Coturnix japonica: one gene and its partner. The protein of the gene in region 1 purifies or fractionates together with the protein of each later gene. This does not show direct contact. Links are inferred from orthologs where the notes say so. Each region holds a gene or a part of one and is shown on either strand. Other genes may lie near its edges.

Region 1 (3,512 bases):
TGTGTGTGACTGTGTGCACTGTTAGCTGCACCCAACCCACAGCAGTGCTGGGCAGAGCTGCTTTGTTCAGTGAGCAGAGCTGGGGCTGTGCTCCATGGCACATTGCCCATGGGTCCAGGTCCCTGGCTTTGTACTGCCTGGCTCCCTTCTCTCCAGCACAGCATCTTTGCACAGAGGGAGTTGAGGTTCCATGCAGCGCTGAGGAGTGGGAGGCTGGTTCTTCTGGCATTAGGTTGTTCCCACTGATGCAAAGCAAATTAGCAAGCTGTTAATGAGCTCCCAGGACAGGCTGCAGGGGGGTGCCTGTGGGGATGGAGGGTCGCCCGCTTGGTGTTGGAGCTCTGGGCTCTTGTTTGTGTCCCTTCATCTCTTTGCAGCTTGTCTTGCTAAGTTCATCTTTAAGTGGCTTGCCGGCTTGTTATGTTTGGAGCTGTTTGTTTTGAAGGCAGGAAGGTGATTTAACAACTCAAACGCTTTCACATTATAGAAAGAAAATGAGGAAATATTACTCTTGGCTTCGACATCTCCCAGCAGAACCCCACCCAAAGTGAAGTGCACGGTGCTCACGGCTACTGCTGGGTCAGCTGTGTCCTCCCTGTTCCTGCAGACACGTGTGGGGCTTCGTTTTGAATCTGAGCCTTTGTTATGCTGAGCCCAAACCTCAGTGTGACAGAGCCAGCGGGTCTTTGCTGCTTCCCCCTGGGATGGGACTGCTGGGAAATGCTGTCTCGTCCCACCTGCATGCTATGGTGTGATGCTCCCAGCTCTGTGCACATGGCACTGCTGTGGTTCCTCATGCTGCTGGCTGACAGGAGCTCCCTGACCCCTTGTGCTGGGCTCAGCACTTTGCAGACCCCGGGTGGGAGATGTTGAACCCCCCCCCACACACCCCAGCCCTACTTCTCATGCTCTGCTGAGGGCAGGGAGGTGCAGCCAAACCCTTGTGTTGTGCAGGATTTCATTTCCATAGCAGTAGCCATGGATACAGACTGTTTGTGCAAATAACCAGTATTCCCACCCACACCAATCGCTGACCACTGTGGATGCCAGAGAGCCTGGGCCTCGGTGGTGCTGGTAGTGCTTGGCTCTACCTGCTGCTGGGAGTTTGCTTTCCCAGATGGTCTGCAGGCCTTTGCTAAATGAAAACAAAACAACCTTGGTAAAGTAGGTGGAGTTCTTTAAGTAGTGTCCAAACACTCGGACTTGCCTGTGCTTTTCTGACTGTGGTAGAGGCAGCTGGATCCATCAGCATGGCTGAGGTTGCACTTAAACATAGTGCTACCTCACTATGTTGACTGCTTGAGCTTCCAGTTTGGTCTCTCTGAAGACCTGTTGGTGCTTCACTAGAGCTGTAGGGAAGTGGCAGAGCACAAACACAGTGCTTAAACAGCTCACATCTGGCCTGAGAGCAGCTGGTGTGCTGCAAGACTCTGGTCCTGGCAGTGTTGGGTGTGTGGGTGACTCCAGTGCTTCCCTGGGCAGCCTGTCCCAGTGCAGCCAGTTCCTCAAACTTTTACTGTCTGTGTAAATCAGCCTCGTGTCTTTCCCTTGTTCTGAGTTAGTGTGGACACCTTCCAATGTGCCTGTCAGAACTCACTCTTTGTTTTTTTTTTGCTCCATTTTGGTAAGGTGAGAGGATCCTGGGCTACGCGGAGGAGCCTTGCTACCTCTGGTTCGTCATGGAGTTCTGTGAAGGGGGGGACCTCAACCAGTACGTGCTGTCACGACGACCTGACCCTGCGACCAACAGAAGCTTCATGCTGCAGCTCACCAGCGCCATCGCCTTCCTGCACAAGAACCACATCGTCCATCGGGACCTGAAGCCAGACAACATCTTGATCACCGAGAAGTCGGGCACCCCAGTTCTCAAGGTGGCTGACTTTGGGCTCAGCAAAGTCTGTGCTGGTCTGACGGCTCGAGGAAAAAAGGGTGGCCATGAGAACAGAAATGTGAATGTGAACAAGTACTGGCTGTCTTCGGCTTGTGGCTCTGACTTCTATATGGCCCCCGAGGTCTGGGAGGGGCACTACACTGCCAAGGCTGACATCTTCGCCCTCGGTATCATCATCTGGGCCATGATTGAGAGGCTCACCTTCATTGATGCTGAGACCAAGAGGGAGCTGCTGGGGACCTACATCAAGCAAGGGTCTGAGATTGTGCCTGTTGGGGAAGCGCTGCTAGAAAACCCAAAGATGGAGCTGCACATCCCTCAGAGGCGCAGGACTTCCATGTCTGAGGGGATCAAGCAGCTCCTGAAAGACATGTTGGCTGCTAACCCGCAGGATCGACCTGATGCCTTTGAGCTCGAAACCAGAATGGACCAGGTTACATGTGCTGCTTAAATTCAGGGCAGGGCACTGCTGTGCTTTGCAGCTGGGTAAGTGATCGGTGGTTTTTATATTATTCTGTCTGCTGTCCAGCCTGTTAATGCACTTTGTAGTGACACAATGGAGTCCTTTATGTTCCCAGAGCTATTTCTATAGTGACTCATCAGAACTCTGTTTGAGTGGTGTTTTTTTCCCCACCTATTCTATTGCAGCAATACAGTAGAGGTGAAGAGCAGATGAGCAGCCGCATGTCCTGGTGCTGCCCAAAGCCCAGACACGGCTCTGCTCTGTGGACCTGGGCTGGGGAGGCACATTGAACATCCTGACATCAGCTTTGGGTGTGTTGGTCCCTTCCAGAGGCAGGGAAGGAGCTGCCTTTTCTTCTGTCTCCTCCACGTGCTGTGATTTCAGCAAAGCTATGAGAGTTCCTATCTCTCAAACATGGTGCTCCTTCCCCACTGGTATTAGGGAAGGGCAGCTTGGGTCATGGCTGGCCTGCTGGGAAGGCACTGAGCTGAGCGGCAGGTGGGTTCTGGCACAGACAAGGCTGTTTTCCTTGCTTTCACTTGCAAAGCATGTGCATCCATCTCGTTTCATTTCCTTGCTGAAGGCAGGACTTCAGTGCCAAGCACAGTTGCATAAACCAGTGGGGTGCTTTGGTGTTTAACATCTGAGCTGAGACCTGAGTCTGCTCAGGAAGGAAGCTTACAGAACATCTGTGCTCAGATGGAGCTCGGTTCGTGCAGAGTCCCTCCCTTCTTCCCCAGGCTCAGGGCCTAAATAGTCCTGAACTTGGCTTCTGCTGCATCCTGGTCCTTAGTGGAGGTCGGGAAGGACACCCACAGAAGTGGGATAGAGCTGGCTGTGTCACTCAGCAGTGACATCAAGGGAATGAGCAGTAGTGATCATTGGTAAAGCTGTCTGTAAACAAGAGCTGTTACTATGGGGCTCTCCTGGCCAAACACTTCAATGAAACTGAAAAATGACAGATTACAGGGTGAGGCAGATATCTTTCCAGTCCTGGTATTTCACAGGCTGCTTCAGAGCTGGACAGTGCTGCTTCCTGGTCCTTACTCACCAGAAACCCAACAGATCCTTCTGGATCAAAGTGAACCGCAGATACAAGAGGGCAATGAAAGCCAGAACTGCTGCTTTTACTGGCAAACACCCAGCTGTCAGCCTTGT
Region 2 (4,262 bases), on another chromosome or scaffold:
TTGAGCTAAAAATATCCTTTCCATGGCAGGAAAAGACCAGTCCGTGCTCTTGCTGGATGCTTGGTGTGTTTGATAGATCTCTCATTCAACAGTTCGCAGCCGTTAACGTTTACAGGCAACATTATTTTTGGCTGCTGTCCCTTGCATGTCACTAATGTTTAACCAAATGAACTCGGAGGATTATAACAGACAGAGACACTGGTGGAAGTGACAGGCACAGAGACAAGTGCTGCAAGAAGCTAATTTACACATCGAATTTCACAGCCCGAGCCTCCCATCCTGCTCAATAAGCTCATCAGCTGCTGCTTCATACCCGCCAGCCAGCTCTCATAAAAACGAGGGAGCTCAGAAAATCGCCTTGTTGGTTTTTTTTCCCTCTTTCTCCTGCCTGCTTAGACAACAGATTCTAACAAAACCCACTTTTTAATACGGTTGAGACCAAGCCCTCTTTTATGTGGAAATGTGAGTTTAATGTAAATAGTTTGAGCCGCTCTGCTTGGCTTTCAGGGCTTGTTGGCTGCCGGTGGTCTCTGTGCAGACTTTCAAGGCACTCAGGAGTCACTGAGCTGCTGAAACATGGGCAGGTCTCTTAGGGGGCTCTTGCTGCCTTTCCTGCAGTGAGAAGAATCTAGGAGCCTCGCAAAGAAGCTCGACAGGTTGATGGTTGGGCTTGACAACCTCAGAAGTCTTTCCAACCCTTATGATGCTGGTTCTAAGCCCTGCTGTTCTGGCTTTGTCTGTGCAAGGTGTGCATCCCCTGGATGTGTCCGAGGCCACCTTGCTGAGTCTGCCACCTCGGTGTTATAGAAACCATCCATTAACATCTCCAAACGGCTTTTTATTTTCTTGCTATTTTCAGTTCACAGAGGAAATCGAGACGGCATCCAAGCTTTCCAGCAGCAAAAATGCCTCTCTGCAGCCAGCTCCAGTCTCTCCTGTTTACGAGGCAGTATAAGTTCTCACTGTATAATAAAAACAATCATCTGTATTCCTTGGCTGCGAGCAACAACACTGAGAGCGGAGCAAGTTTCGGTGCTTTGGAGGAGAATATGAATCATCTCAGCCATAGAACAAAGCACAGAAGACCCCTGAGCGCTGAGCAGGCCTGTTTTCCAACCTGGAGCTGAGAAAGAAAACATCTGAGCTGGATATCCTCAGAGGAATATTGCTGCTGAATCTCTGAGGCTCAAATTGTTGCTTTTTCCAGGCCAGGATGTGCAATGGCAATGTTATCTGCTGGCTATCTGCACCATTCCTTCCCTGAGGGCTGTGGGGAAGGGATAACGACTTCCCAATGCACATCTTAGAAGCAAAGCTTTCAAAAAGAAGGCGCTGGGAAGCAAAAGACCCGAAGTGTTTATCACATACACAGCCTACATACACATTTATTTTATTTTATTTCCACTGAAGGCGGTTTAACACCGCGATGGGCCTAGCACCCCAAGGCATCTCTCCGCCCCTCCTGTGGTGAAGGGCGGCCCGCAGCGCCGGGCTCGGACCTGGCCGGGACGCTGCTCCTCCCCAAGATGGCGGCGGGCGGGAAGGGCCGAGCCGGGGCGGGTAGCGGAAAAGGAGACGGGGGGAGCCGGCAGGTGAGGGCCGAGCCGGGCTGATACCATGGACCGGAGGGAACATGGGGTGACTGGGGAGGGAACGGGCTGTGGAGGCTGTGCTGTGCCGTTGTGGTGGCAGGGGGCAGGCCTGGAGCGATGGGGAAGCGGCCAGCGGTGATGTCCTCCGCCTGGCACCCATCGTGGGGGTGCTCTATTTGGGCCTTTCTTTTCCTCCTAAATGCTCTTTTATTTATTTTATCTTTTATTATTTATGGGGAAATAATCTTTTCCCATAGTGGCTGTGCTTGGTGCTACAGCTCAGGAGGTTTCTCGCATGGAGTTTCATGCCACACGAGCTGGTTGCTGCTGTGTTCGGGTGCTTTTGAACTTCATGTGCTTCTCTTTGTTTTTCTAACAGGCTTCTTCACACAAAGCAGTTGGCAGACGGCCCTCCAAGAGGCTAAAATGTGAAAGAAACAGTCGGGTGAAGTCAGGACTGGAAGGCTGTATGTGTGAGAGTGAGAACCCTCCTGCATCTAAAACACCTGCTGAGGGCTCACCATCAAAAGGTACAGATCACCACGAAATTCAGCTGGAAAAAAGTGAAAGAATTCCAGAGACCGGTGGAGAAAAACAGGAGAAGGAAGGTGATGTTTCTTCAAAGCCACATGCGGCAAAAGCAAGTAGTGCACCTTCAAAAACAGAAAGCAATGAGGATCTGCAAGATCGTGCCTGCAGGGAGGAGAACAGCTGTGAGAGCTTGATTTTGGAAGGGAACTGCTTGAAGGATGGAGACGTCCCTAAGAAACTAACAGAACTAGATAACAGTGCTTTCTTGGATGAAGACAGTAACCAGCCGATGCCACTGGATCGGTTCTTTGGAAACATTGACTTTATGCAGGTAAAGGTTGAGTCTGCCTTTAATATTATATACATTTGGACACCTGATGCCTTCATCTTTTATCCATTTAATGAATGTTGTGTTTAGTGGGAGCAGTGAGGATTCACTTGTGGAGGACTTTATCTCCTCTGCATCCTTTTTGACTGCAGAGAGAACAACAGCCCTCACTTGGACCATGAGCTGGTTCAGACAGGCTCCCCTCTGCACTCTGTAAAGGTTTATTCAGATGTGTGTGTGTTAATGCCTCATGTATGAGACTGGGGAAGAATGGGAACTGCTGGAGATGGGGGAGGTTTGCCATCTGCAGCAACTTCACTTCATCATTTCATCTTTTTCTTCAAGGATGAGCTAGCAGCTGTTCTCCCGAGCACAACAATGAGCAGGCGGGAATACAGAAGGCTGCATTTCATCGCCAAGGAAGATGAGGAGGAGGACGACGAGGATGTTCTCTAGCAGCAAACTGTAAAACACAGGAAACTTTTCCTTGTCTTCCTACCAGAGCGATGGTGGTAGGCTGTATCACTGGCATGACGTGTCAGTATTTGCATTTTCTTAGAGAATGGCTAGAGTCTGTTTCTAGAGTTGGCAGATACAGTATTCCCCCTCAGTTTTCTGGGGCAGAGTTTGACTGAATTCCATCTTCCACCACGTCAGCTGTAAGCATTGCCCTTTTAATAGCTCTATAATGCAGATTGTTCAGTGTTTTCAACTGACTTCCAAAGGTTGTGAATAGAAGTTTCACAAATACATTGGCAGTGAAAAAGGCAGAACAGAATCTCTCAGTAGGACTTTAACTGGTAGACAAACAAGTAGTGGTGGCCAAGTAGATATGGGTCAGTCCTTCAAATCTGTTCCTTCTGGCCTGCATTTTTACATGAGCAACCTCACGAACTGCTAACTCATGCAGTGTTGGTGATAGTACTTTGAAAGTGTGATTCTGCAAGAAGCTCCCAGATATTTATTATTATAAACACAGAAGAAAGTATTTCTAAAAATACAGAGAAAATATAATCAGCAGATGGTTTAAATCAATATTAATTTCTACAGCTACAGTATGTTGAACATTCAAAAATCTGAAGCCAAACAAATTGTATATGCATGACATGTTAATTTATTCAAATTCCCACTCCAGTTGATGTATTGTTTCTGTCAGTGCCAGTTCTTGGCTCCTTTTTACTCTTAAGTTTGTAACACTGCAAAAAAAAACCTTCCTATTTTGGTGTATACGTGGTTTTCATCACAACTCCATCTAAAAGCAGTTCTCCCAGCTCTCCCTTAATTCCTTATTAGCTGACTTTTTTTTTTCCTAGGCAGTCTCTTTACACACACTCAGTGTAAAATGGTGTTAGTAGGAAATGTGCCATGCTGACAGCACAATGCTTGTTGTCACATCTTTATTGCAGTCCCTTCCCCAATACCAAAACACCAGAATGTGCATTTTCACTTCTCTTACTGTTGATGTATATTCAGTGAGATGATCAGGATCAATCCAATGGTGCTGAAACTCCATACTAAAAATGCATTTGCTTATTTTCACGTTGAAATGTTTGGGAAAGGAATTGAATTTACTGCTTTAATTAGCACTGTCTGTAGCAAAGCTCCTGCATTTCCAAGCCCTAGCAAGTCAGGACTCACACAGCAATACTGTCTTAATAATAATCTTGTCTGAACTAGATGAATTGATCTGATAAGAAAGAGAACCAGTGATAGGAAGAAACTGGGGAGAAAAATGCAAAACAAAACCAAAACCAGCAACCAAAGTAAACACCCAGAACTTTCCTAGAGGTAAATGATGATGATGTCTGCTA

The links. The genes of interacting proteins can lie anywhere in the genome.
Region 2: the proteins of STK35 (region 1) and C21H1orf174 purify together in Homo sapiens (affinity purification with mass spectrometry; 3 studies listed by BioGRID and IntAct, counting the BioPlex papers as one, with this or other methods). This does not show direct contact. The link is inferred for Coturnix japonica from reciprocal best matches to the Homo sapiens genes STK35 and C1orf174.

The regions. Positions count from the first base shown.
Region 1 is NC_029535.1:9,253,756-9,257,267, forward strand, and holds part of STK35 (serine/threonine-protein kinase 35), read left to right. Parts: intron 1-1,629; coding exon 1,630-2,342; 3' UTR 2,343-2,377; intron 2,378-3,512.
Region 2 is NC_029536.1:765,429-769,690, forward strand, and holds C21H1orf174 (UPF0688 protein C1orf174 homolog), read left to right. Parts: upstream 1-1,458; 5' UTR 1,459-1,526; coding exon 1,527-1,592; intron 1,593-1,971; coding exon 1,972-2,454; intron 2,455-2,796; coding exon 2,797-2,907; 3' UTR 2,908-3,897; downstream 3,898-4,262.